Oryzias latipes: one gene and its partners. The protein of the gene in region 4 interacts with the protein of the main gene of each other region in a pairwise test. Links are inferred from orthologs where the notes say so. Each region holds a gene or a part of one and is shown on either strand. Other genes may lie near its edges.

Region 1 (4,751 bases), on a different chromosome or scaffold from region 4:
TAAGACATAATTTCTGCAGAGCAACAGAAGCTCATTAGAAATTTGTTTCTGGGTTGTGGATGGGACTGTTAGCGTGAAAGTGACCCTACCATGATTTCCCAGCATTCCTTTGTTTACACGCTTTCCTGCTACCTAACAGCCGCTCACAACCCCAATCTAACATTAGCGTAGCACAAGAAAAAAAAACAACCTGCCGTACAGTTTAGATTTAGATTCCAGCTCAGACAAAGGAAAACAAAGACGGATGTGGATCTATTTGTCTGCGTGCGGAACAGGGAGACTTTGGCCCGCCAATGGCAGTTGCTGCATCGCAAACCGGGTCCTTATCCATTACAATTTAAATAAAAAAGTCCTCGTAAATGCAGTGCTAAGCTTAAATCCTTTTGTCCTCCATGATGAGAAAAATGCTACAAAAACATGTTAAAAACACACATATCTGAGTGAACCATCCAACATAATAAAGTGGGAAAATCCAGAAGAATTGAACAAAAATGTAATCAAATAGTTACACAAATTGATCAAACATTTGGGTGTGAGCTTCTGAAGGATCTTTATGACTTTATAACTGCTGACACTTATTTGACATGCTGAATAATTTTAATGACAGAAAAGGGAACATTTAAAATTTCGTTTTGGTTTTGTGCTCATTTCTATTTTTCATTTAGTTTGTTTATAGGCCTAAATAAAGAAATGGCTCCACAGATCAAACATCAACACCGATGATTCCGTCATTAGAAGCTTTTGGGTTTCTTACTTGCAGGTCCAGAACATCTCCGCCATGTTTGTGCTCACATAAAATTTGTGGGTCTCCTTCAAATCCGTCTTCTAATCCAGAATTGTTGTGATTTCCAATGGACCAGATAGACACCTTGTTGTCCTATAAATCAACGGGTTTCACATTAAACTCAGTGAACATTTAAATCACGACGACAAATGAATCAAAACAATTTTTTAAAGTGTATTTAAATAATTTAAATTAATAAAAAAAATTGAGTTAATTAGCAAGCGATCTTAATAATTTGTGTGGTTTTGCGCTAGTAGTAGTACTACTAGCTAACCTCGTTGTCCCACGAGCCCGTAGCAAAGACTTCTGGTTGTTGCAGTGAAGAATAGGAAACCGGACACCATCTCGTCTTACTGATTTTCTGAGACACATATTTGGCATTTATGCTCTCCATGGAAATTGAAGCCTTTTTGTTAAAATTTGAAGTGTTGTTTTCAGTTTACGGACTACACGAGAAACTACGCGCCTGCTGCTTCATACGTAACTACGGTGGCCCGAGAAGACCAGATCACAGTGTGCTATTCTTCTTTAAATTAATAGATAATCTGTTTCCCCCTAGCGGCCGACTTCTTTATTACCCAACAATTCCAATAAAGCAGAGACAGAGGAATTCCCTCTTTAAACTGACACTGGGCTCAGTACGTATCTAATTGGGTTTGTATTTTATTAAACTGTACGTGTTTTGTTAAAAGGGAGTGTATGTGAAAGGCGGCCCGGTAATAAAATCATTTGGATGTCTGGTGACGTATCCGCTCCGCCGTCTCCGCTCGAGGTTGCGAGCTTCATCGGGAAAACTGTTGGCGCAGGCGCGGCACTGACAGCTGCTGTCTACTTACTCCGCAAAGTCTGCTTAATAATGGCCTGGAAATCTGGAGGAGCCAGTCACGCAGAACTTGTCACCAACCTTCGCAGTGAGTCTTGTAGCGTTTTTAAGGTGGCATCGGCAAGCAATTCACCCGCGCGACGCTGGAAAACTGTTTTCGGGCGCGTGCTTGTTAGCGCAGGTGCGGTAGCTAGCTGGTTGCTTAAACTGTTAACCACTGTTGCCCCTAGTTTCTCCACCCCCTTTTTTTTTTTTTGCCAAACCACGTTACGCCGTGGGACACGCGCGCGCTTCTGTCATTTTAGATCAAAATAAAAGCACTAAACACCCAAATTACATAATATTTGCATTAAATATTTAGGGTGTATTGTGATGTTAGCCCGGCCAGCTAGCTATGTATGTGCGTCATGTAGGAGCATGTAGCTAGCGTTAGCAGCGGCGCTAGCTGTGTGCCCTGCCCACATCCATTGATGTCTGTCTGCACTGGCCACTGCGCTGTCATTTCACTGACGAGAACAGTTTAAACCGTAAAGCTCGACTCTGGAAACCACCCTTCTGTTGCACGAGACAGAAATTCACATTTGCTGTGTCACGATAGCAGCTAGCAACATCGAAAGAGCGACTTAGTGCCAAGTCCAACTCGGAATAAATGGTAATGTCATTTTGACACTTAGCCTTTTTGTTCATAATAAGCCTTTAAGCCAGTACATCAACTTATTTAATGCTAATATGTGAATTTAATACGATATTTGCAGACTTGAGTGTGCGTCAACATTCACTGTCAAGTATTTGCCAGCTCTATTTATACTCTCTGTGCTGTCAGGGGTATCATTGCTCGCTTTTTTGCCCATAGCTGCGTGTTTAGGAGGGCATCAGTCTCTATATCTGCTTATCTCAGTCCAGACATGTTTGCTTCCGACTAGCACACTTCATTTGGATTGAAGCAGACCACATGCAGAAGGCATGCTGATCAGTCTGCCACCTCTGGCTGAACCTTTCAACCCTGCAGGCTTTTGTTAAGGACCTTTTGTGGTTATATTGGCTTTATGCAAATAGGTACAGTTAAAAAAGTGATCATGTGGACTGTATATAATAATGCTCAAGAGTTTTATCATCTTATTTTGCTAATATTTTACATGTGCATTCTTAATATTTAAGTCTTCATTGTTCATTTTTTCTGCTTGGTGACAATAAAGCTTTTGATTGTATTCCAAACATAAGAAATCGAGCTCATGTATCTTCCTTAAAGGGTCATGAAAAATCAACTTTTTTTTAGCTTTTAAGTGTATTATAATGTTCATTCTTCACTGTAAACAACCTCAAAGCAGTATTTTGATCTGTTCTTACATTTCTGAGTATTCCTCTAAAAACGTCTTAGGTTTTCAGAGGAATACTCTGTGTGTGTGTGTGTGGGGGGGTGTGTGTGTGTGTGTGTGTGTGTGTTTGTGTTTGTGTTTGTGTGTTTATTCAGGAATACACACACACACTTTCTGCGTGGTGCCAGTGGTGATTGGTCAAAACACGTTCCTTTACTCTGCACAGTATGCACATCCATCCCTGTAAAGGTTTGGATGTTGTTTGTTTTCCTGGGAGACTCAGACACGCTGCCAAGGCCGGCTCTATGTTGAGGTCATGCAATGGGCGACACCCACACAGAGAGAAAGGCGGAGCCTCAGAGACCAAGTCGTCTTATTTCCGGGTTGGAAAATGAAGTGTGAAAATAACTCGTATTTCATAAAAAGATCATTCTTTAGTGTGCCAAAGGTAATATATTATCATATACATGGATATAGTTCATTGTGAAAGTATTGGAAAAGCATGAAATAGGCCCTTTAATCCACAAACTACAGTGTAAATGCAACCTGTTTAGATAAGTGTGACTGTTCTTTTGAGTGTTAACATTACAACATCTAAATTTTATGTCCATAATTCTGTCCCGCTGCAGTCCATGGTCTGCAAAGCCAATATTGTTTTTGCTATGCCGCTTTCTTACTGTGCCCTGTGTTAACATTTCACACCAAGCCTCTTTCAGCTGTGAGTACATGCACTAATATCGGGTAGCGACAGTCCAGTGTGAACACATGTGGCAATAGGGCGTTCAAGAAGGCCCGTTTAGCGCGTTCTTCAGGTCACATCACATGCCTGGTGTGTAGGTAGCATAAGGAATAAGGTTTATTTGGATACCAACCACTCCATGTTTGTCTGATTTAACTCAATGCGTTCATTCGTGTGTCTTTCTTGTTGCATATTCGTCTGCAGGACTGTGTGGTTCTCTTCTGCCTCACTTTTGACAAAAACTCTTCTGCATCCTCAGAAAATGGCATCATCAAATCCGACAGGGTGTACGAAGCCATGCTGGCCACAGACCGAGCACACTTCTCCAGGTGTAACCCCTACATGGACTCGCCTCAGTCCATAGGTAGGTGCATGGACGCCATAGTTTGTGCACTCTGGCCTGTTTTCTGAGTGATCAACGAGCCCATGTTTGCTTCTAACCAACAGGTTTTCAGGCCACCATCAGCGCCCCACACATGGTATGAAGGTCTCCACCTTCCAGAGGACTCTTTGAGAAAACCTGAACTCATCTGGACTCAATTATGTCTATATATACAATATTTCAATTCAATTCTTTCACATTTTCTTTCAAATTTCTTAAATACAAAACTGGTTTTACATACAGTATTTTAAAGCACACTTAAAAGCCTACTTTTTTTTTTTAAATCTACAGTGCATCTTATAATCTGGAGCATCTCATATATGATTAATTCTGGTTGGGTTTACTGATGTTGAAGCGATTTTTAGAAGTAGACGGTGCTCTGTCAAAATGTTTGGTTGGGTGTTGTTGTAACTACGCTCAAGCAGCTAATGTTTAGACTGTTTTTTTAGGTGTTACTAACAAGGTTGTGACGTCACAGAACGTTTGTTTTAGTGATATCCGTTGTGTTTTCTATGTGTTGCAAACAAGGTAGGTACCAAAACTGCCACTGAACACTTATTGCAGGCCAAACAGTTTTGGTACCTACACCGTCGAAGTCTGCCTGACTAGTTTTTTGACTCTTTTGTCTCGCTTAATGCGCCTATGAAATAAGTTTGAATCTAAACCATTCATTGAGGATGCACCTTAAAGTGCAGAAAATCGAAGTT
Region 2 (3,615 bases), on a different chromosome or scaffold from region 4:
AACCGACTACATAAATACCATAGTCCAAGAATGAATTAAAATGAGCAACCTTGACAATTGTGCGACATATTAGTCAATTATGAATTTTGTTAAGTCAGTGATTGCTTTAGATTCTCTCAGATGCTGTAGATCACATATGTCAAACTAAAGGCCCGGGGGCCAAACGTGGCCCTCCATGTCATTTTATGTGGCCCCCGAGAGCATGAAAATTTTTGATTTCTTAAAATGAAAAATAAAAATTGGTGTGTATTTATATATATATATATAGGGGGAATCTGCCTTGAAATATCAGATTGGGCAACTATACATTAGGACTTAAACACTGTCCATATAATCTAACCTGACAGAATCAAATTTAAAAGGATTTATGATAGAGTAACAAGCAAACATATGTTTTCTATGCAACTGTAATTGTCACTTTCAAAAGTTATAATAAATAAATAAATTAGTTGTTTAACATTAAGGAGTAGTTACATGTATGTTTCATTACATTTAGTTACATGTATAAGTTATATCCGGCCCTTTGAGGACAGCTGCTATACTGATGTGGCCCTCGGTGGAAATGAGTTTGGCACCCCTGCTGTAGATCGAAGAGAATCCACAACAATCAGCTGCAACAATAAAAAAAGAAGCAGGTAATTCAGCTAACATAGTGTTATAAGGATGTGTGAGAGCAAACAGCTGAAATGTTAAGGTCAAGGTTTTTGTGTGGAACTGCTTTCATTTTAATCCCAGAGGCCTTTACAGCAACAGCACTGACTTGTGGCAGCTGGATACTACTGCTTAGAAAATGCAGGTGAATCTACGAGCCCTTCAAATCTTAAATACAATGATTTTTATCATTTGTACCGTAGTTAGTTTATATATTCAACAAACTGTTTAAAGCTTTAATTTGCTTTACTTAAAAGGTTTTAAAAGCACCATCATATTTAAATAACCACTCACACCAGGTGTGTAGATATTTTCTCTTTATTTGTGTTTTAAAATATGAATAAAGGACTTTTCATCATCATCAAAAGCACACAATAATATCTGGTACCTTTACCAATACGAATAGAACTTTTTGTCTTTCGGATGCAGCATTAAACCTTTTTCAATTTGCGGTTCACAACAACACAACAGTTCATTATACTGGCTAAATCCAAACTTTGCAATAACACATAGTATCCTCAAACATTGTATAGTACTCCCAAAATACAGTTCAAATATGATGTCTACAAGCTAACTGAGCAGAATATTTTAAAGGTGGTCAAACAGTCCTAAATTACTGCACTACAGTCACAAAAAAAGCATTCAATTTAAATGCCCAAAAGGTTTTTACTGTCAAGACATTTTAAAGGTAGAGTTTAGGTTCAGAAACGAAAGCCAGAGGATTATGGGAGAACCCTGAGAGAACACAAGTCTGATTATTACAAAGAAAACAAGAATAAAACACAGGAATCAGTGGAATGGAAAAGACTGTTTAAAAACACAATACAAAGTGAAGTGACAGAAAAATATATTCCCTCAATTATTTCCAACTTAAAATAAACAGATGTTACAGTTTGTAACAATTGTGATCGAAGGACAGCCTTGTTTTTTTTTAAATAAAAGAATAAACATGGTGCTCCTCTAGACAGAACATGAACAGTCACTGGAATGAACATAGAAGCTTCCTGAAATATAAAAGACAAAGTGAGCAGCATTTAACTCCTAAAATTAATCCCTAAAGGAGTAAACGAACAATTAGCTATTGTATTTTATAACTCATTTATGTTATGTACAATTACTAAAGCTCATTGACACAACCGTGTTGTAATGGTGGGCTAAATAAATAAAACTGAATTATTGAATTACATGAGCCCAGAAGTGAAAGTAATCCGAAATCCAAAGCAGAGCTTTAATGTGTACGTTTTCGTTTCATATCAAAATCTAAAAATACTACTTTAAACAAAAGTTTATACATTTTTAGAAGAATAGTTGTTAAAGCTGCTGCCACTAGAGGGTAGACGTCAACTTAGAAGAACTAATAAAAAGGATAATAGTGAGCCTTGCTCCATCTGGGGGACAAAAATAGTTGCAGTTTCTTGCATTCACTGAATTATTTCTTCACTTTTCTCCACGGAATTAACCGAAACGAAACAACCACATAAATATGCTTGGATTTGATTCTCTTGCTTTCAAACAAAGCTGGTCAAATCTGTCTCCACTGCAAATTTTAAAGTGAGGTGGATCCAAAACACATGGAGCCATCAGACACATGAGCAGCACCTCATTTAGGTCTCAGGAAGAACAAATACACAGATTTTTCAAAATAAAGGTTGCCAAAAAAAGAAGCATTTTTTTTCTGACATCACCAGAAATAATTGCACTGTGGAAAATATTTATAGATTTAAGGCATTTCACATTCTTCAAATAATTTAGTGAGTTAAAATAAAGGCTAAAAGAAAGCTTTGATCAGATAAAGTGGAGGATGAGGCTTTTGTTGCCAACCGTCCCATGGAAAACCAGCTTTTTAGATTTAATTCTTCAAACAAACAAAAAAAGAGAAGTTCACTGAGGCGTGTAAAGGTTTGGTCTCTGCATACAGTGGATCCGATCAGACCATGTTGGTTTCGGTGTTCGGACTGCGATTTTGCAGGTCTTGAACCTGGTCAAGCACCCAACTGATGTTCGGTCGCTCTTGGGGATTTGAGACCATTATGGAGCTGAGCAGCACCTGCAGACCTGATGAATACCTGTGAACAGGTCAAGAGAATATCAGCCAACACATCCTCCATTCACAATTTAGCTTATACTGAGGGGAAAAAACGTGACATGAATCACAAAAACCCAGCATGTTAGGGGATTCACTTTAGCTTGGGTGTACTCTGCTTAGTGACAGCAGCATTTAAATGCCACTGGTGACCATAAACCCTCATTTTATAGTCATCATAAGAAATTTCTTGCAAGTTTTTCTTCCAAAATAAATCCAAAGTCTGTTTATTTTTTTGATTTTTTTTTTAACAAGCACTAAAAACGTCAGCAAAATATTTTTTCTTTTCTTAAACTTCTGAAAGGAATAAAGGAGGTTAACAGATCGACAAAACCCTCCAATAATGACCTGCAAGATGGCGGGATGCTGACTGGATTCTGGACAGCCAGAGCAACGCTGTCGCCCTTCTGAAACACCAGATCATAAGGGCCCTCCAACATCATCATGCAGTACAGCACACAGCCGAGCGACTGAAGGAAAAGCAGAATCAAAGGAGAGGCCGGCTTCAGTCATTTTCTCCAGAGGTTTCAGAAAAAGCTGCTCCAGAAAAAGGCAGGTACGAGTCCTTGAGGACAGTGGACTTGCAACGTTACCCAGATATCAGTGCGCTCATCTATGATGCAGTGGCTCTCTACGTGGAAGAGCTCAGGAGCTCTGTAGGAAATGGTGCAGCGCTGGGCCGCCCAGTCCTGTAGGGTCATGGCCTCTCTGGATCCTTTCACCTGGGAAGGAAAAATGGGTCATTAAAAGTAAAGGTTCATTTAAAGATGTGAAGGTTTAGGAGGAAGTTAGTTTTTAAACAAATAGCTGACATTTAAAGCTGGTTTGCTAAGAAATACTAAAAAAAACGATTTTCACATCCAGAGGGAGAACAAGGTCAA
Region 3 (4,874 bases), on a different chromosome or scaffold from region 4:
AATAATATCTGTTTCTTAAAACAGACAAAAATCAAACAAAAAAGTCTTAGTATAGTAAATATTATAAAAGATTGATGGTAAATCAAATGGACTTTTCCCACCTGGTATTCTTCCTCCAGTCTGGAGAGCAGCACCGCCTGCTCCACTGTCAGGTATCGGTCAACCATCCCCAGTGAAAGCAAAATAGACTTCAGCTGCGAGATCACAAACTCAAGTCCTGCAAAGAAACAGACACAATTCTTAAACATTTCAAAAACAATAAATACATCATCTCAGCCTGCACAAGTTGAGATCTATAGATGATCACGTTTTCTGGAGTTGAGATGTCTTACCCGTCAGGGACCAGAGGCTGTAAGAATTGAGATGCTGTCGAAAAGTTTCCTTGGTTGCCTGTGGAATTTCAGGACCCAGAATGCTCGATGAAGATCCAATAGTGACATTGTATCTGCCATGCAATAGTACAGAGAAAATGCATAATAATGTATGGTTTACTGAGACAGTTCCTACATCATTTGGAAGTCTACTGCACAAGATGTGAAGATTAATGCTTTTGTTTTATTTTTTTTACCGGTTTTCAATCCAGTGCAGAACCGGATCCCACTCGTTCTTCTGTAGGTCCACTAAACCAGGAGGATCCTCCACTCTGTAACTGAATCAAAGCATAAATAAATCACTGTTTTGTGACAACAAGGTAACTTAATCTGAAAATGAAACTTAAAAAAAAGAGGCAGCCAAATGGCAGATGCTATAAGAGAGCAGCACAGCCTGCTCCACAGTCAGGTATATGGCAACCATCTCCGGTGAAAACAAAACAGACCTTGCTTTCACTTTACTGGCCAGACAATGATGGTCCTATTAAAGAAATTAGGTCAAAGAAAAAGTTTGTTGCATTCATTTTCACAGTAATTCTTTATTTTTAATGCTTTGGAGTCTGGAATCATCTGACAATGGACCGAGAAAAAAAAGTTTCTCCTGCAAATATCTAGTATATGAAATTCATAGAAGTTCCAAAATTCATTTCTTTTATTTTATTTCCATAAACAAAAATGCTAGTTTTCTGCAATAAGCTAAAAACATCTGCTTTCTTTTACAGTGGCATTACAGTTTAGTGCAAAATGCTACATTAGTCAAATAAAGGGAGATAACTAAAAATACACTGCATAATTATTAATAATAATCACAATAACAAAAGGATCAACACAAAAAAACAGTAAAATAAAATTGTTAATTAGCTAAAGAAATTAAGAAAGTGAACGTTGCTAAATCCTAAGCTAATATGCTAAAGTAAATAGAAAATGTAAAAAGATATATAGTGCCAATAAATGTATTACAAATTCACACCTACACAATAAAGTAGCTAAAACATAATAATTGTAAATAAAAGACTGATGCAAATCTGTTTGCTAAAACTACTAAGGTATCCATAAAACAATTAAGCAGACAAGTGTAAAGAAGTTGAATATTTCAGGACCACAATAAAATGTTTAAATTAAATTCTGAATAAGATAATAAGTTTTTTTTAAATATGTGTAAAAAGTTAAAAAGACAAGGGAAATAAATAAATATGTAATATATAAATTTAAAGAACTAAAGGGATTATCTAATACATAGTTGACAGTTAAACAATATATCTCATTATACAAGTATAATTTATAATAATGAAAAAAAAAGTCTAAATTATATTAATAGGTTCGAACATTTTCAAAAAGCTAAAAAGTAATTGCATTTTGACTATTATTTGCAAAAAAAATTGCAAAAAAAGAGCACAGAATGGCAGATAACGTTTTATTTTTTACAAAGAGAAATAGAAAAAAAAAAAAACATATTAGATGTAGTTGCATCTCACAAGTCCAGGATTTGTTTGGGTACTTTTTATCTAAACAAACCTAATTTTGAATTTTCTATTGTTTTGGTATTTCTGTTAGGTGCTTTTATTTTGAAGTCCTTGTTGCTTTTCTCTCTAGATTAAGAACATTTTTTCTCCATTCAAGTAAAATATTGATTTGAAATACAGGTGTTTTATCTTTTAAACTGAGTAACCGGCATAAATGAGCCAAATAATCATCAACTCTGGACAGAAACAGTATAAAAGCTAAATCCATACCAGATCGTGTCAGTCTCCAAAAACTTCAACGCTGAATTGATCATTTGCTCCTTGTTGCGTTGGGTGGGGTTGTCCAGAGCCGTGTTGCACAAAGTGGTCTGCAAGAAAAGTTCAACCGGCATATGAGTACGGCTGGCTACACACTGTGGTGTAAATAGGTCAGAAAAAATATCCCATACAAGGTGCATGGTATAAAACTTGAGTGTCCCCCTCTGAGCATCCCACTCTGTTGCCACGGCGATAGCCAGGGCTTCATTTGGTACTGTGAACAGCTTCCCTCCTGGAGTTTTGAGTTTCCTTCTATCCAGATTTATTTCATACAAACCATCTATGGACAAAATCGTCACAAAATTAGAGAATATAATCAATCTTGGTCTTCCCTGGAACAATAAATAAAATTATTTTAAATTTTAAATAAGACTCACCATCTCCTTGAGATATGCTGACATCTTGATAAAATCTCTTCCTCTCTGTCAAATAGCAAAACATGTAGCACATGATTAGCACACAGCATATTGATAATTAATAATAGTAATGTCAAAATAAACACGTTTACCTGTAGATGCAGTGGAGTATTTTGACAAACACTTGGAGTACTGATGACTGGGACACGACTTGCAAACTGAAATTACATTTCCAAAGGAATTTCGAAGTTGAAAAACACGTCTAAACATATTCATACCTAAATTTGGACGTATACTGTTTACAATAAAAAAGACGATTCACTAGCGATTTCTTAAGCCGGTCTCTCACGCACTAAAGTACCACATTGAACAAACAGATCTTGAGTGTATAATGAACCTGACTCTACAATAAATCTGTTGTTAAACATTAAGGTTTTCATCTAGCTTACAGTAACACATCGGTTCAAAACCACGCGTGTGACCTTCGATGCTACAAAGCTACAAAATGTTTTCATTGCATGCTTTGGGAAATGTAGTTTATTTTTGGCACTGCTAACGCTTACACATCACTTAAAAACTACATCAAAAATGTTCACGAATACTCTTCCGCCTGCTCAGCCAATGAGCGTCGACGATCTTCGAGGGTGAAGTTGTTGGACCAATGAGATAAGCCGTTGCTACTGGTTACAGCGCAGCTTCGAAGTCCACTTTTAGTTCTGGGGAGCTTGATGCTTCGCAAACTGAACTGTGGCGCAATTAAGAGCAATTTGAATGTTTGAGGACCTCCTCGGGACTTTCTTTCTGGCTGGTCGTACAGGTTGACCGAGTCCCGCTGCCGCACGGCCGTTGACCGCGGTTGGAGTTCAGCCTGCGAAGCTGGAGCTATGCCTGTCCCCGCTGGATATCTCAGCGAGTTCCCGGCCGCGGCCTTTGCATCCTCGGCCTCGCTTATCCCGCTGCCGCCGATAAACACTCACCAGCCCGGTGTTGTCACGTCGCTGCTGTACAGCGGCTCCAAGTTCAGAGGCCACCAGAAAAGCAAAGGGAACTCCTACGACGTTGAGGTGGTCTTACAGGTGGGGGGCACCGAGGCGGAAATGTTGCTTTTCGTACTGCGAGCGCGAGGCTTTCGGGTGATGTGTCAAAGTGGCGGCTGGAAGAGTGACAGCTGAAAAAAAAAGGGGGTCCCGGCCTGTCCTGGACCAACTGTGGGTGTAGTGGTGGGAGTAGCAGAGCAACTGCGCCCAAACAACACCGACTAACAACAACCAGCTGCACAATTTTCTACCAGTTTAAATTAACACAAACTATCACAACTAGCTTAAATGTTGCAACATTAGGGGCTGTTGACATTTTTTGAGAAACTGCAGCTTCTGACCGTCAAGTTTTGTTTTTGTTATTTTTTTTAACATAAATTCAGTGGAGATTTGACCTAAAAGTTCTGTTTATTATTTGTTACAGCATGTCACAATGGAGGATTCCTACTTGTGTGGCTATTTGAAAATAAAAGGACTCACAGAGGTCAGTTCTGTTCATATTTAGAGGATTCATGTTGGAATATGTACATGTGGATGAACTGGACTTAGAATTTTAAATGTTTTTGCAAGTTTTTCCTCCACCTTTTGTGTAATTTTTCTTGCAATGACTAAATATTAGTCCAACTGATCGTGAGCCAAATAATTCTACATAGTTTTTTGTTTTGTTCTGCCTCTGAAGTGCAGATATTTTTAATTAAGGGATCGATTTGCTTAGAATATTTTTAAACGTCTTAATTTTCTATTAATGATTTATACATAGCGATAACCTAGCCTTAACGCTGTAAAGTTTACAAAACAAGATTGTTGGTATAATCCAGTTGCACATTTTCGTAGGAATATCCGACCCTGACCACTTTTTTCGCCGGGGAGATCATCAGCAGGAAGAGGCCGTTCCTCACCCGAAAGTGGGATGCAGACGAGGACGTGGATCGTAAGCACTGGGTAAGTAAGACGACACTTTTTCCACGCTCGGCGTCCGCGGCGACGTGGCCGTCTCGCCGTAACTTTATATGCGCTCTCTTTTGGCACCAAGGGCAAGTTCCAGGCTTTCTACCGGTATGCGAAGACTTTTAACTCTGACGAGTTCGACTACGAGGATCTAAAGAACTCGGACTATATTTTTATGAGGTGGAAGGTAAGCCTCGACCTGTTTGCTAGTGAACTCCAAGATGCAGCCGCTCTCATTTAGCTCCTCTCTGTCTGCAGGAGCAGTTCCTAGTTCCTGACCACACCATCAAAGACATCAGCGGCGCCTCCTTTGCAGGATTCTACTACATCTGCTTTCAGAAATCTACGGCAACAATCGAGGGCTACTACTACCACAGGAGC
Region 4 (4,935 bases):
CCTATTAAGCAAAGAATTACAATAAAGGCAAAGGAATCTGAAAAGAGACCATGTTTCAACTGTTCTAACAGCTTTTTGTTAGTGCAGGATTGAATACCATTTACATACAGAATCATTTTTTTCTGGAAAACATAAAAAACAGGTTTTGCTATTGGCATATTTACACTTGTGTATGAAATATTGAGCGTTACACGTATGTTCTGCAAGCATGACAGCTCACTTAGTCTGCAGAAAAAACATGTATGCTAACTTCAACGAGCAGAGATGAAGCCTGCAGCCAGCAGGGAGGAGCTTCTTCCAAGAGGCAGAAGAAAAAAAGAAGCTTGTTGTGTAATATTTATAAGCGCATGTAACGCGTAGAGCACCCCCCCACCCCCTGTAACTTCTGTTTGCGTCTCTGTAGCGCTTGGTTTCGGCTGATGGGGCAGTGGAACACGCGTCAGCTTTCAGCAGGATCCAGACAGACCTGCAGAATAAAGCTGCTGGACTCACTGCAGCATCAAAGCTTAAAAAAAAGGGTCGGTTTGAAGACGGCGCTGATGTTAAACCCTGATGCTAACATGCTACGATCATGCTATGCTAACGAGCTGTTCCGAGTGTCGCCAGACTGGGACCACAAACTGGTTTAAAGTGACACAATATTTACACAGAGCGGACTTTAAGACGGGGAGGATGAACTGTATTTTCTAAACACAATAACAGACGTGAATGAAACTTTATTAGCAACATCTAACATTACAGAGCCGCAGAATTAGGAAAAAGATACATTTTCTTTCAATCTGCTGCCCTTTAGTGAATCTGTCCATGTTTTATTTTTAAAGATGTGTTCATCCTATTTATAGATTTCTTTAAGGTCATTTTATTTTCTGACAGATTAGAAATCACTTTGAACAGTTGTTTCCATGTTGTGACGTCCTCTCTGTCTGCACTCCTCCTTGTTTTTAATTGACACCGATAGTTTTTCTGTGTAGTGTAACAATTTGTCCACACACAGCAAAATTGGTTTGAAGGTTGTAGCTGACAAAAGTGGGAGGACGACACATTTGTTTGAACACCTGAAACAAACTCTGTTCAGAGAGAAGCGTTTCTCTTCATCAGACGCTCCAGCTGTCTGCAGCTCCCAAAAATGGATCTGCAGACATTTCTACAGCTTTTGTGTTTAGCTGAACTTTGTGCTGGAGCCTACTTTTTAAAGGTGATGTTAAAATTAAGTAGTTTTTGTTGAATATATCCCATCATTTGTAATTTTTGTTAAAGAAATTAAAAGGACGGAGAAAAAAAAAAGTGTTATGGAGTGAAAAAAAGATTTTATTTTTTTGGCCACATGGCCCAGGTCTAATCTGTGTGTAGAAAAGTCATTTAAATAAACAACCAGAAAACACAGAAGTAGAAGTTAAATAAGAAGAAATAGATCTTTTTTTGGGGTGGAGTTATGAAGAAACAAGAAACTATTTTTTGTTCTTTTTATTTATATTTTACATTTGATGTTCAGAGTTTGTAATTAAATTTGTAATTTGTTTGGTTCAAACTGTTTTGTTTTGTTGCATTTCTGGCTGCGCTTTAATGTGAGACACGCATCAGGTTGCAGTGTTTTACATTTGTTTCTTCAGTAACCAGGTAAGTAAACTTAAACTGAAGTGTCACTGGGTAATTAAAAGGAGTCAGAGTAGGAGCAGCAGGTTTGAAGAGCCAGATTCAAACACTTCTACAGGAGAAGCTATCTTTAGTGAATTCTTTGCCCAAACCCACAAAGGGTGCAGCATCTGCAGATGATGATCAGCTGAGGTCAGCGTTGAAGGGTGAGAAACCATGAGTTCGTGTGGACATTGATTCTGTTTTGCAGTTTCCCCCCCAAAAAAAATCGAGCAGAAAGCAAAGCAGGACTTTGCACTGAAATGTTGCATTTAGCAAAGATCTGAGAGGTCTGTAGCAACACATGCAAAGAATGTGCTAACTGTCGTAGTGCAACGCGCCAGTTTCCTGATTTCACAAACACAAATGGTCCGAGTGGAGGAACTTGAGAAAATAAACTCGCAGCAAAAAGAAAAGCGATGAAAGCGGATCACAACAGCACATCCACTCACCTGGAAGGAGGTGGGAACACACACAATGTTGAGTTTTTCCTGCATCACTCTCTCCGCTGCAACAGAGACAAAACGGAGGCCACATAAACACTGGACCCATGAACGCCAAGTGGTCAGTTCTGCTCTTTGACTGCAGTCACAGCTGCTGGAATGGAACCATCACCAGCGGCTGCAAGCAGGCTCCTCCCACTGGACACAGACATGAACAGTTCAACGGCGCTCACCCAGTCGGTCCACGGCGTACACAATGGTTGATCCACTGCCCACTCCAACCACCTGGTTGTTCTACAGAAAACAAGGAGGCGTGGTGTCTGAATCCATTCAGCTCACAAGATCACAATCCAGTTTGATTTTTAATTTAAATCCCATTCATCAGGTTTCAGTATGATATTCATGTTTCAATAAATGGTAAAGTCACATGAACATTTTAAAAACAGAAAAGCTAGTGATTTACAACTGTAATAATGTCTTTCAGACACACATCAAGGCAACATTTAGGAGCAATGTTGGCTGGAAAAGACGCTTCAAGAAGCTGCAGAGAGTGAAATTTTTCATAAAAACACATTTTATCTATATATAAAAATCTATAATTAACATGAAAGTCCAAGCAAAACAAAAATAACATTGATACTGTTTTTATTGAAATTAAAATAGGTGTTTAGGTTCACCTTTCACCTGAGGGTCGCTTTTCTGGCCCACGGGGGCTCCCGTTCCCGGTCGGAGGAGCTGACCTCTGACCCCCCACACTTATGGCTAACAACACCGTTAATTCCAGCCTAGACTAACTTCTACACCGCTCATGCCCCTGTTTTCCTTTTCACCCTAAATGTTTCCTAGCTGCAGCACCATAGTGCGGTTCAAAGCGGGACAAGCCCGCGCAAAGCCGCGCTAAGTCGCTTTAAAGTATTTAGATAATGTTGTACTTGCTAACTTTGCCGCGCGCCGGAACTACTAGCTGAACGGCCGTGACGTCGTCTCAAACTCTCCTGCTGCAGGACTCGAACGGACGCGTTCGCTCAGAGGACAGCGACTAGGGTACCTGGACGTGGTTGTCCACGGCGGCGTAGGCGGCCAGCTTCTTCGCCTCCTCTGCCATGCCAGCATCAGACTCGCGGGAGCAGCGCACGTGCCGGTGACTGGAGAGCGCGAGGAGCTTCCGCGAGGGTGGAGCGCAGAGGAGTGGTACGAACCCTGGTAGCCTCATGACACCCCCCTCCCGCAAGCGCAAGAGAGCCTCCCCAAGACGACTACCCCTCGCTGCAGTGGGCAGTGTGCCTCGACGTGGGCGGGGCTAAACGCGTTGGGCTCCGCCCACAGAACGTGATTCCATTTCTTCTTCTTCGCTGCAGTCAGATTGTCCATGTGCAGCGACACAACACGGAACTGCAAGATGGAGGTACGCATCAACAAACAAACGGGCATTCATGACAATAAGACACATTTTCGCCTCACGGATGAGGCTGTTATTTGTATTTTTGCTTTTTTCTGTCGTAATATCCACGTAGTTCAGGTTTCACACGGAACTACAAGTTAGAATTGCGGCTCTACTCCTCGGGACTTTCGTAATCATCATGATGATGTTCAACTTTTTTGTGTCTTCCAATCAATGTAGGTGAAACTTTCCGGTTTTTTCCACCTGTATTTTTCCTCTCTTTACAGAGACACGTTACAGTCTTATTGGGCAATGAAAAACCAACGCCGAAAACCCTAAACGGTTCTTCCCACTGTCCGTTCTGCCGCTACAAGGGCGCAGAGCATGCTGTGAGACACCACATGGAAAACCATTCGTCCGTCAAACACAAAGGTACAGTCTGGGTTCTGAATGGAAACTGTCAGTCACAAGTCACAAGTCATGAAGTATGTTCTTCCCATCATTCCTCTTTTAGGATTCACAGTCATCAAGTGTGGTTTAGGTTGCCGGACTGCGTCACACTTTCACTGTTGCCATTGTCCGGCAACATTGGTCAACAGGTCACAGTTTTTCAAACATTTGGGAGCGCACCACGTAGGAAATCCTCCATGGCTGCTAGAGGTCAAACCAGAGCCCCCACCGCAGCTCCCACTGGCCCCACCACAACTCCCAGAGCCCTCATCGCAGCCCCCACTGGCCCCACCACAGCTCCCAGAGCCTTCATCGCAGCCCCCACTGGCCCCACCACAACTCCCAGAGCCCTCATCGCAGCCCCCACTGGCCCCACCACAACTCCCAGAGCCCTCATCGCAGCCCCCACTGGCCCCATCACAGCTCCCGCTGGCCCCACCGCAGATCCCACTGTCCCTATCACAGCTCCCAGACCCCTCCTCGCAGTCCCCGCTGGCCCCATCGCAGTCCCCGCTGGCCCCATCGCAGCTCCCAGAGCCCCCATCGCAGTCCCCACTGTCCCCACCTCAGCCCCCATTGCAGCAACCAGCACAGCTTCTATGGCAGCAAACCCCGGCCCCACCACATCCCTCAGAGCGCCCCCAGCAGCAAAAAAACCCAAAGGAAATGTGTCGGACGCAGACAATTCTTTGTCATCTCTGCGGTTTGAATTTAAAAAAAAAAAACTTCAAAACACACTGCAAGAGGAAGCACAAGCAGTATTTTGAGACAGTTTCCATGGAAAGATTTCTATCCAGCCAGTGTGTGGATGAAAAAAATGGCGTGTTTGCTGTTCAGGAATCCTTCTGTGGTTCAGCAAAGCCTGTGCATGTTGTGAAGAAATTCTGGGGGGCGAGTCCCGTCACTGTGTGTGAGGTGGACCAGTGCCGGCTCAACGGGGACTTTGCCCACACAAGTGGGATGCCGCCCTACGAATGCCACCACGTCAGATCTCTACTGTACTGCCCACGAGCCGACAACCAGCATGTC
Region 5 (4,954 bases), on a different chromosome or scaffold from region 4:
GTTGGAAGGCCACACCCCTACCACCTGAAAGTGGGCTACACGACGTCTGTCAAAGCTGTCCCCATCAGGGATTAATAAAGTATCTTTCATTCATTCAAACATGTGGAACGTTGGGGCCAGCAGGCTCCGCCTACTTTTGTTGAGGCATCTGATTGGTCAGGTTATAACTTGAAGTACCAAATAAAATACCACGAAAACCCCATCAGCTGGACAACAGCGCCGGCGCTGACGGACGAGGAAAAAGGCCTGGCTTTCAAAACATGCACCTTACAGGAAGTTTGTTTTAAAAAAATCTGTGCTTTATTTAAAAAGTAGGGCTGAACGACGTGAGGAAAACTATAGGGATTAATATTGCGATGACATGAACAAATAGCAAAAGCACAACACACTAACACATCCTTTCCCTTTCACTGAAAGTTAACATCAATTATTCTGCAAACGCGACCATATAAGGCAGGCGTCTAACAATAAAGGGCTCCATCGCGTAAAATGCTCCGTTTGATTCTAGAAATATTCAAATCTGCGATGAATGAGGCTGTTTTAGCACGTGTTTAAACATTTATGGTAAACGCCATTAGCAGTTTACACCATCTTTGCCTATTTGCGTGTCGCATAGGCTGAGATCGTCATGACCGTCAATTGATGATCTATTTTGTGGGGCCTATAAAATATGGAGTAATATTTATGCCACGACGCAGATAAACTTTACCGTTTATCTGACAGTTTCATGAAATCAGCCATAAATTCACAAATCTGACTAAATAGGAAATAATCAATGCAAAATCAGAGGAAAAAGAAAGTGAATTATTTTTAAAATGATTAAAAATGACATTTTCTTAAATCAGAGAGACAAAATCGAGGGTAAACAGAGCTGGTAGCAGACGCCATGTTAGACAAATACGGTGATTTGATTGGTTAGAATCTGGACCAATCAGCAAATGTTTGATGGCAGCTTTGTCACGCTAAACTGAAACGTATAAGAGCAAAATCAAAGATAGGAAAAAAGCGAGATGAGTCACAACGCAAAACATTTGTGTCGCTAACGCATAAATATTTTTTTGAAAGCAAAATAAAATTGAAAGAAAAAAAATTAAAATTCCAAAAAAAAATTTTATGGCAGAATTTTTTTTGAAAAATCTAAAAGCAAATATTTAATATTTTCATTTGCAACTTAGAAAGTTTTGTTTGCAACGTGATGGCATAAATACCACTTCATGATAAAATAACTGCACAAAAATGATCTGATGATCAGAAAAACCAAACGTGAAAAAGAGGAAACCAGAACAACGCCGACCAACTGATCCATCAATAGCAGCAAACAATCTCAATAAATGGTCATTCCGCCGTGAGCAGAACACGCTCATACTGGACAGTCACCTGAAGACCAGGTTATCCTTTTCTTTGGAGAAATTCAAGGAGGATTTTGCAGGAAAAGGCCTCATTTCAGAGCCAAAGAATTCAGTCAAACAGTCTGAAAAATTTACCGATATCGCGATTCCAAGCTGTGCGATCTCCATATCGCAAAAGTCGGTGAAAAACGCAATAAATAGTAAACATTTTATGTGCTAAAACAATCTTATGGCAGCTTGAAGTATTTAACGAATCAAATCAATCCATTTATGCATTTGACCAATCAGATGGAGCTTTAATGTAGGTTGTTGCCCTCCTAATTAGACGAGGGTCGTTTGGAGAATAATTGAAGGTATTTTGACTCTAATTTAAGTTAAACTTATGCAGTGAAATGGAAATGTTTTTCTGGTTTTTTTATATTTGTTCATTTATCACAAGTTATATCACTAAAATTGCATTTTGCGAGTTTTCCTCATATCCTGCAGCCCCTGTCTGAATGAGAAGGATGGCTTCTGCATCCTCTCCAATTCATTTTTCATGTTTTCTACAGTTTGACTGGGTGTCTGCGTCTGGTCCCGTCTGCGTCTGCGTCTGGTCCCATCTGCGTCTGGTCCCGTCTGCGTCTGGTCCCGTCTGCGTCTGGTCCCGTCTGCGTCTGGTCCCGTCTGCGTCTGGTCCCGTCTGCGTCTGGTCCCGTCTGCGTCTGGTCCCGTCTGCGTCTGGTCCCGCCTGCGTCTGGTCCCGTCTGCGTCTGGTCCTGTCTGCGTCTGGTCCCGTCTCTGTCTGCGTCTGGTTCCGTCTGCGTCTGCGTCTGGTCCCGTCTGCGTTTCTGGCCTCCTCTCTGCACACGATCCGCCTCGTCTTTGCCTTTTTGACTAATGAAACTTTAAATAGATCATGTGCCTTCAACGCTAAACCTCACGCTGGTGTTTCAGCCAAACTTTCTTCCTGTTTGCTGATCAAAAACACTTTTTTTTTTTTGCTTGAGCAAAGGCCTGGCTGCGACGGCGCCTCTGCGGCCAGACGCTTCCGTCTTGTGGATGTTCTGTGGAATGTGTCAGATGAAGCAGACGGAAGGTTTTCCTCTTTCCTTTCTGTTGCTTCTCATCAAATCAGCTGAAACTCAACCAAAGATGCTCACAAGTCACTTTTTCCCAGCGAGTTGTGGTTAAAATGAGCCTCTTCTTAGACGCAAATTGCACGTTGAAAAACAAGCACAAGAAAACACATTTAGCTTTTCTGCACTAAAAGGTTGTTGTTGTTCTTTTGTCCCAGAGGTATAAATAAAAACCAAAAAAAGTGAGCATTGATCACAAGTCTCCCTGCATGAGAGACTCAAGTCTCTGCTGAAAACAGCTGGCAGGAAATCTATTTATGACTGAATTTGAAACTTCTTTATTTGGAAAAATGACCATTAAAGTGGTGAACTAACGCCGAATGTGCAGAAACAAACCAAAACACTGACATAAATCACATGTTATGGATTAAAGTAACTCTATGTTTAAAGTTATTCCCTGATTATTCGATCGTTTTCATAAACTTTTGTGAAAAACCTAAAGTTCCACCCCAGCAGAAATGCTGTCGACTCGTCCACTAAGTAACGGCTCCAGACGCCGGTGTGGAACTTCACTGAACGCCCGGACAACAGCGGCTCCTCTGCCCTCGGGCTGTTCCAGAACCGTCGGTCCGGTTGGGTTCGACTACCGAGCAGATCCGTGAATCTGGGTTCACTCCAACGTCCCTGCCTGCGCTTAAATTGTGTCCCAAACAAGCCTCTCTTACCTCCGAGATGTCATTTTTTTCCCCCTCCTCACTTCCTCGCTGGCAGCTAGCGCTAGCTTCAACTAGCTAGCTAGGGTTTCCGATCGTTCCCGCCTTGATCAATCAATAAAGTGCTTCATCGGTGAACAGAGAAACCCGATCACAACGGGCACTAGAAACTACTTAAGCATCCGCAGAAACGTGAATGGCCGTCCGCTTCGGGGGGAAATGTCCGTAGGCCTCGGTCCGGAGACTTCACGGCAACTATTGGACGTCACCAAACATGCGACAAAACAGAGAACGCGGATCTGGACACCTGGAGCTCCCGTTTCTCGACGCGCTTCGCCCTGGCGGAAGTAACCGGTTTGACGGGAAGAGCTCCCCTCAACCGGCATAAAGCGGGACATAAATTAAGCTAACCCCAAAGTCTTACTACGAGAGTACTTGCAGGATGTAATGCTAAAGTTTGTGTCTTGTTTTTGTTTTCTTATATACATATATTATTTTCCAGATCTTTTAAAAAAAACATCTGGAATATTATGACGACTTTTGAACGTCCAAATGTCACAATTCTATTTAAAAAAATACTTTTTTGGGAGGTTAAAACATTTTTCCATGATTTAAATCAGACACCATTATTATCCTTGCAAAGACAATAAGGTACACTTCTGAAATAAAATTATTTTATTTTACTCAATAAATTATAATTTGACGGAAGCTGTGCCAAAAATATTTGAATTGTCTTGCTTCTTAACCTTCAGAAAGTTTATTTTTATCCTTTTGTGAAGAAAGCAGCAATTTCACAAACTCCATATATTCAGTGAATCCTTAGATTTTACTGACAAAGATTCCAGCAATACGATAATTTATCCAAAAACGTTGATAGGTGGATTATTCCTGAAGCAAATAATCCCAGAACAATGTGTCTTAGTAAAATATATATATATATATATATATATATATATATATATATATATATATATATATATATATATATATATATATATATATTTATATGTACAGAGTTTTAAAACCAGTTTCCTTACTGTATCTTTCTTTAAAAGATGAAATTTTATACTGAATCCTCAAAAATAATTATTGAAACACCACTTTGTGTGTCCAGCTTTTCCTGCAGTTTGACCAACAAATAAATACATTTTCCTTGACACAACTGTGAAAACCAAGAATGTGCACAAAAACAGTCGCACGACACTGAACTTTTGAACACAAAAATACATTTACAAAACATGCACATGCATTAAATTGGATAAACTCTGAAGATTTTTTTTTTTCTGGAGACATGCTAAAGTGAGTCAAAGCCTACATTATAAATCAAAATATTTTCAATAATGGATTTATGATAAATTAATTATATTTATCCACCACAATTGACTTTAGACTTCAGTTTGAGTCATTATAAAAAGACGAAATTATAGAAACCGTTAAGAAGAATTAGAGAAATACAAAGCAAACACGTGGATGTACTGATGTAAAAGATGTACAATTTAAAAGACATAAAAATATTTTTTATACTTTCAAATGCCTCAAAGATAACTCACACCATATGGTTTTCAAGGATTATTGAGGGAAAAACTTCAGACAACTACTACTGAATCTTTACATGTATTTTCTGAAGATATACTTTAATTAATTGTTTTTTATAAGAATGCGCAGAAAGCCAGGTTCGACTTTAGAAATCTTTTTTTTTTTTTTTTTACGGACCGCTTTTCTTAAGTTTGTCCCTCTCGAGCTGCTGTCCTGTAAGCCCTTACGTGGCAGTCTCAGAGCGGTGTACAGCAGCCGAGGCTGGTGCAGCTCCTTTCCTGCGGAGCCTCTCTTCCTC

The links.
Region 1: the proteins of rpia (region 4) and pcmt1 interact in binary tests that used the Homo sapiens proteins (3 or more experiments, as listed by UniProt). The two-hybrid records come from large-scale screens. The link is inferred for Oryzias latipes from reciprocal best matches to the Homo sapiens genes RPIA and PCMT1.
Region 2: the proteins of rpia (region 4) and stk16 interact in binary tests that used the Homo sapiens proteins (3 or more experiments, as listed by UniProt). The two-hybrid records come from large-scale screens. The link is inferred for Oryzias latipes from reciprocal best matches to the Homo sapiens genes RPIA and STK16.
Region 3: the proteins of rpia (region 4) and atpaf2 interact in binary tests that used the Homo sapiens proteins (3 or more experiments, as listed by UniProt). The two-hybrid records come from large-scale screens. The link is inferred for Oryzias latipes from reciprocal best matches to the Homo sapiens genes RPIA and ATPAF2.
Region 5: the proteins of rpia (region 4) and ptpn11 interact in binary tests that used the Homo sapiens proteins (3 or more experiments, as listed by UniProt). The two-hybrid records come from large-scale screens. The link is inferred for Oryzias latipes from reciprocal best matches to the Homo sapiens genes RPIA and PTPN11.

The regions. Positions count from the first base shown.
Region 1 is NC_019882.2:17,708,016-17,712,766, reverse strand, and holds the start of pcmt1 (protein-L-isoaspartate(D-aspartate) O-methyltransferase), read left to right. Parts: upstream 1-1,355; 5' UTR 1,356-1,517; coding exon 1,518-1,695; intron 1,696-3,921; coding exon 3,922-4,026; intron 4,027-4,109; coding exon 4,110-4,141; intron 4,142-4,751. Other genes in the region: nucleoporin Nup43, read right to left, coding at 755-877, 1,059-1,178. UniProt on the Homo sapiens protein: Initiates the repair of damaged proteins by catalyzing methyl esterification of L-isoaspartyl and D-aspartyl residues produced by spontaneous isomerization and racemization of L-aspartyl and L-asparaginyl residues in aging peptides and proteins.
Region 2 is NC_019861.2:14,422,987-14,426,601, reverse strand, and holds the end of stk16 (serine/threonine-protein kinase 16), read right to left. Parts: intron 3,457-3,615; coding exon 3,328-3,456; intron 3,205-3,327; coding exon 3,083-3,204; intron 2,718-3,082; coding exon 2,579-2,717; 3' UTR 954-2,578; downstream 1-953. UniProt on the Homo sapiens protein: Membrane-associated protein kinase that phosphorylates on serine and threonine residues. In vitro substrates include DRG1, ENO1 and EIF4EBP1. Also autophosphorylates. May be involved in secretory vesicle trafficking or intracellular signaling.
Region 3 is NC_019877.2:3,255,983-3,260,856, reverse strand, and holds the start of atpaf2 (ATP synthase mitochondrial F1 complex assembly factor 2), read right to left. Parts: upstream 3,029-4,874; 5' UTR 2,785-3,028; coding exon 2,661-2,784; intron 2,575-2,660; coding exon 2,530-2,574; intron 2,433-2,529; coding exon 2,284-2,432; intron 2,203-2,283; coding exon 2,105-2,202; intron 650-2,104; coding exon 569-649; intron 446-568; coding exon 333-445; intron 218-332; coding exon 102-217; intron 1-101. Other genes in the region: gid4 (glucose-induced degradation protein 4 homolog), read left to right, coding at 3,393-3,584, 3,970-4,029, 4,380-4,487, 4,579-4,680, 4,752-4,874. UniProt on the Homo sapiens protein: Plays a role in the assembly of the F1 component of the mitochondrial ATP synthase (ATPase).
Region 4 is NC_019880.2:22,089,382-22,094,316, forward strand, and holds the start of rpia (ribose-5-phosphate isomerase), read right to left. Parts: upstream 3,338-4,935; 5' UTR 3,289-3,337; coding exon 3,124-3,288; intron 2,370-3,123; coding exon 2,309-2,369; intron 2,141-2,308; coding exon 2,085-2,140; intron 1-2,084. Other genes in the region: uncharacterized protein LOC101171122, read left to right, coding at 3,445-3,480, 3,744-3,888, 3,971-4,935. UniProt on the Homo sapiens protein: Catalyzes the reversible conversion of ribose-5-phosphate to ribulose 5-phosphate and participates in the first step of the non-oxidative branch of the pentose phosphate pathway.
Region 5 is NC_019870.2:1,422,515-1,427,468, forward strand, and holds the start of ptpn11 (tyrosine-protein phosphatase non-receptor type 11), read right to left. Parts: upstream 3,415-4,954; 5' UTR 3,147-3,414; coding exon 3,133-3,146; intron 1-3,132. UniProt on the Homo sapiens protein: Acts downstream of various receptor and cytoplasmic protein tyrosine kinases to participate in the signal transduction from the cell surface to the nucleus. Positively regulates MAPK signal transduction pathway. Dephosphorylates GAB1, ARHGAP35 and EGFR.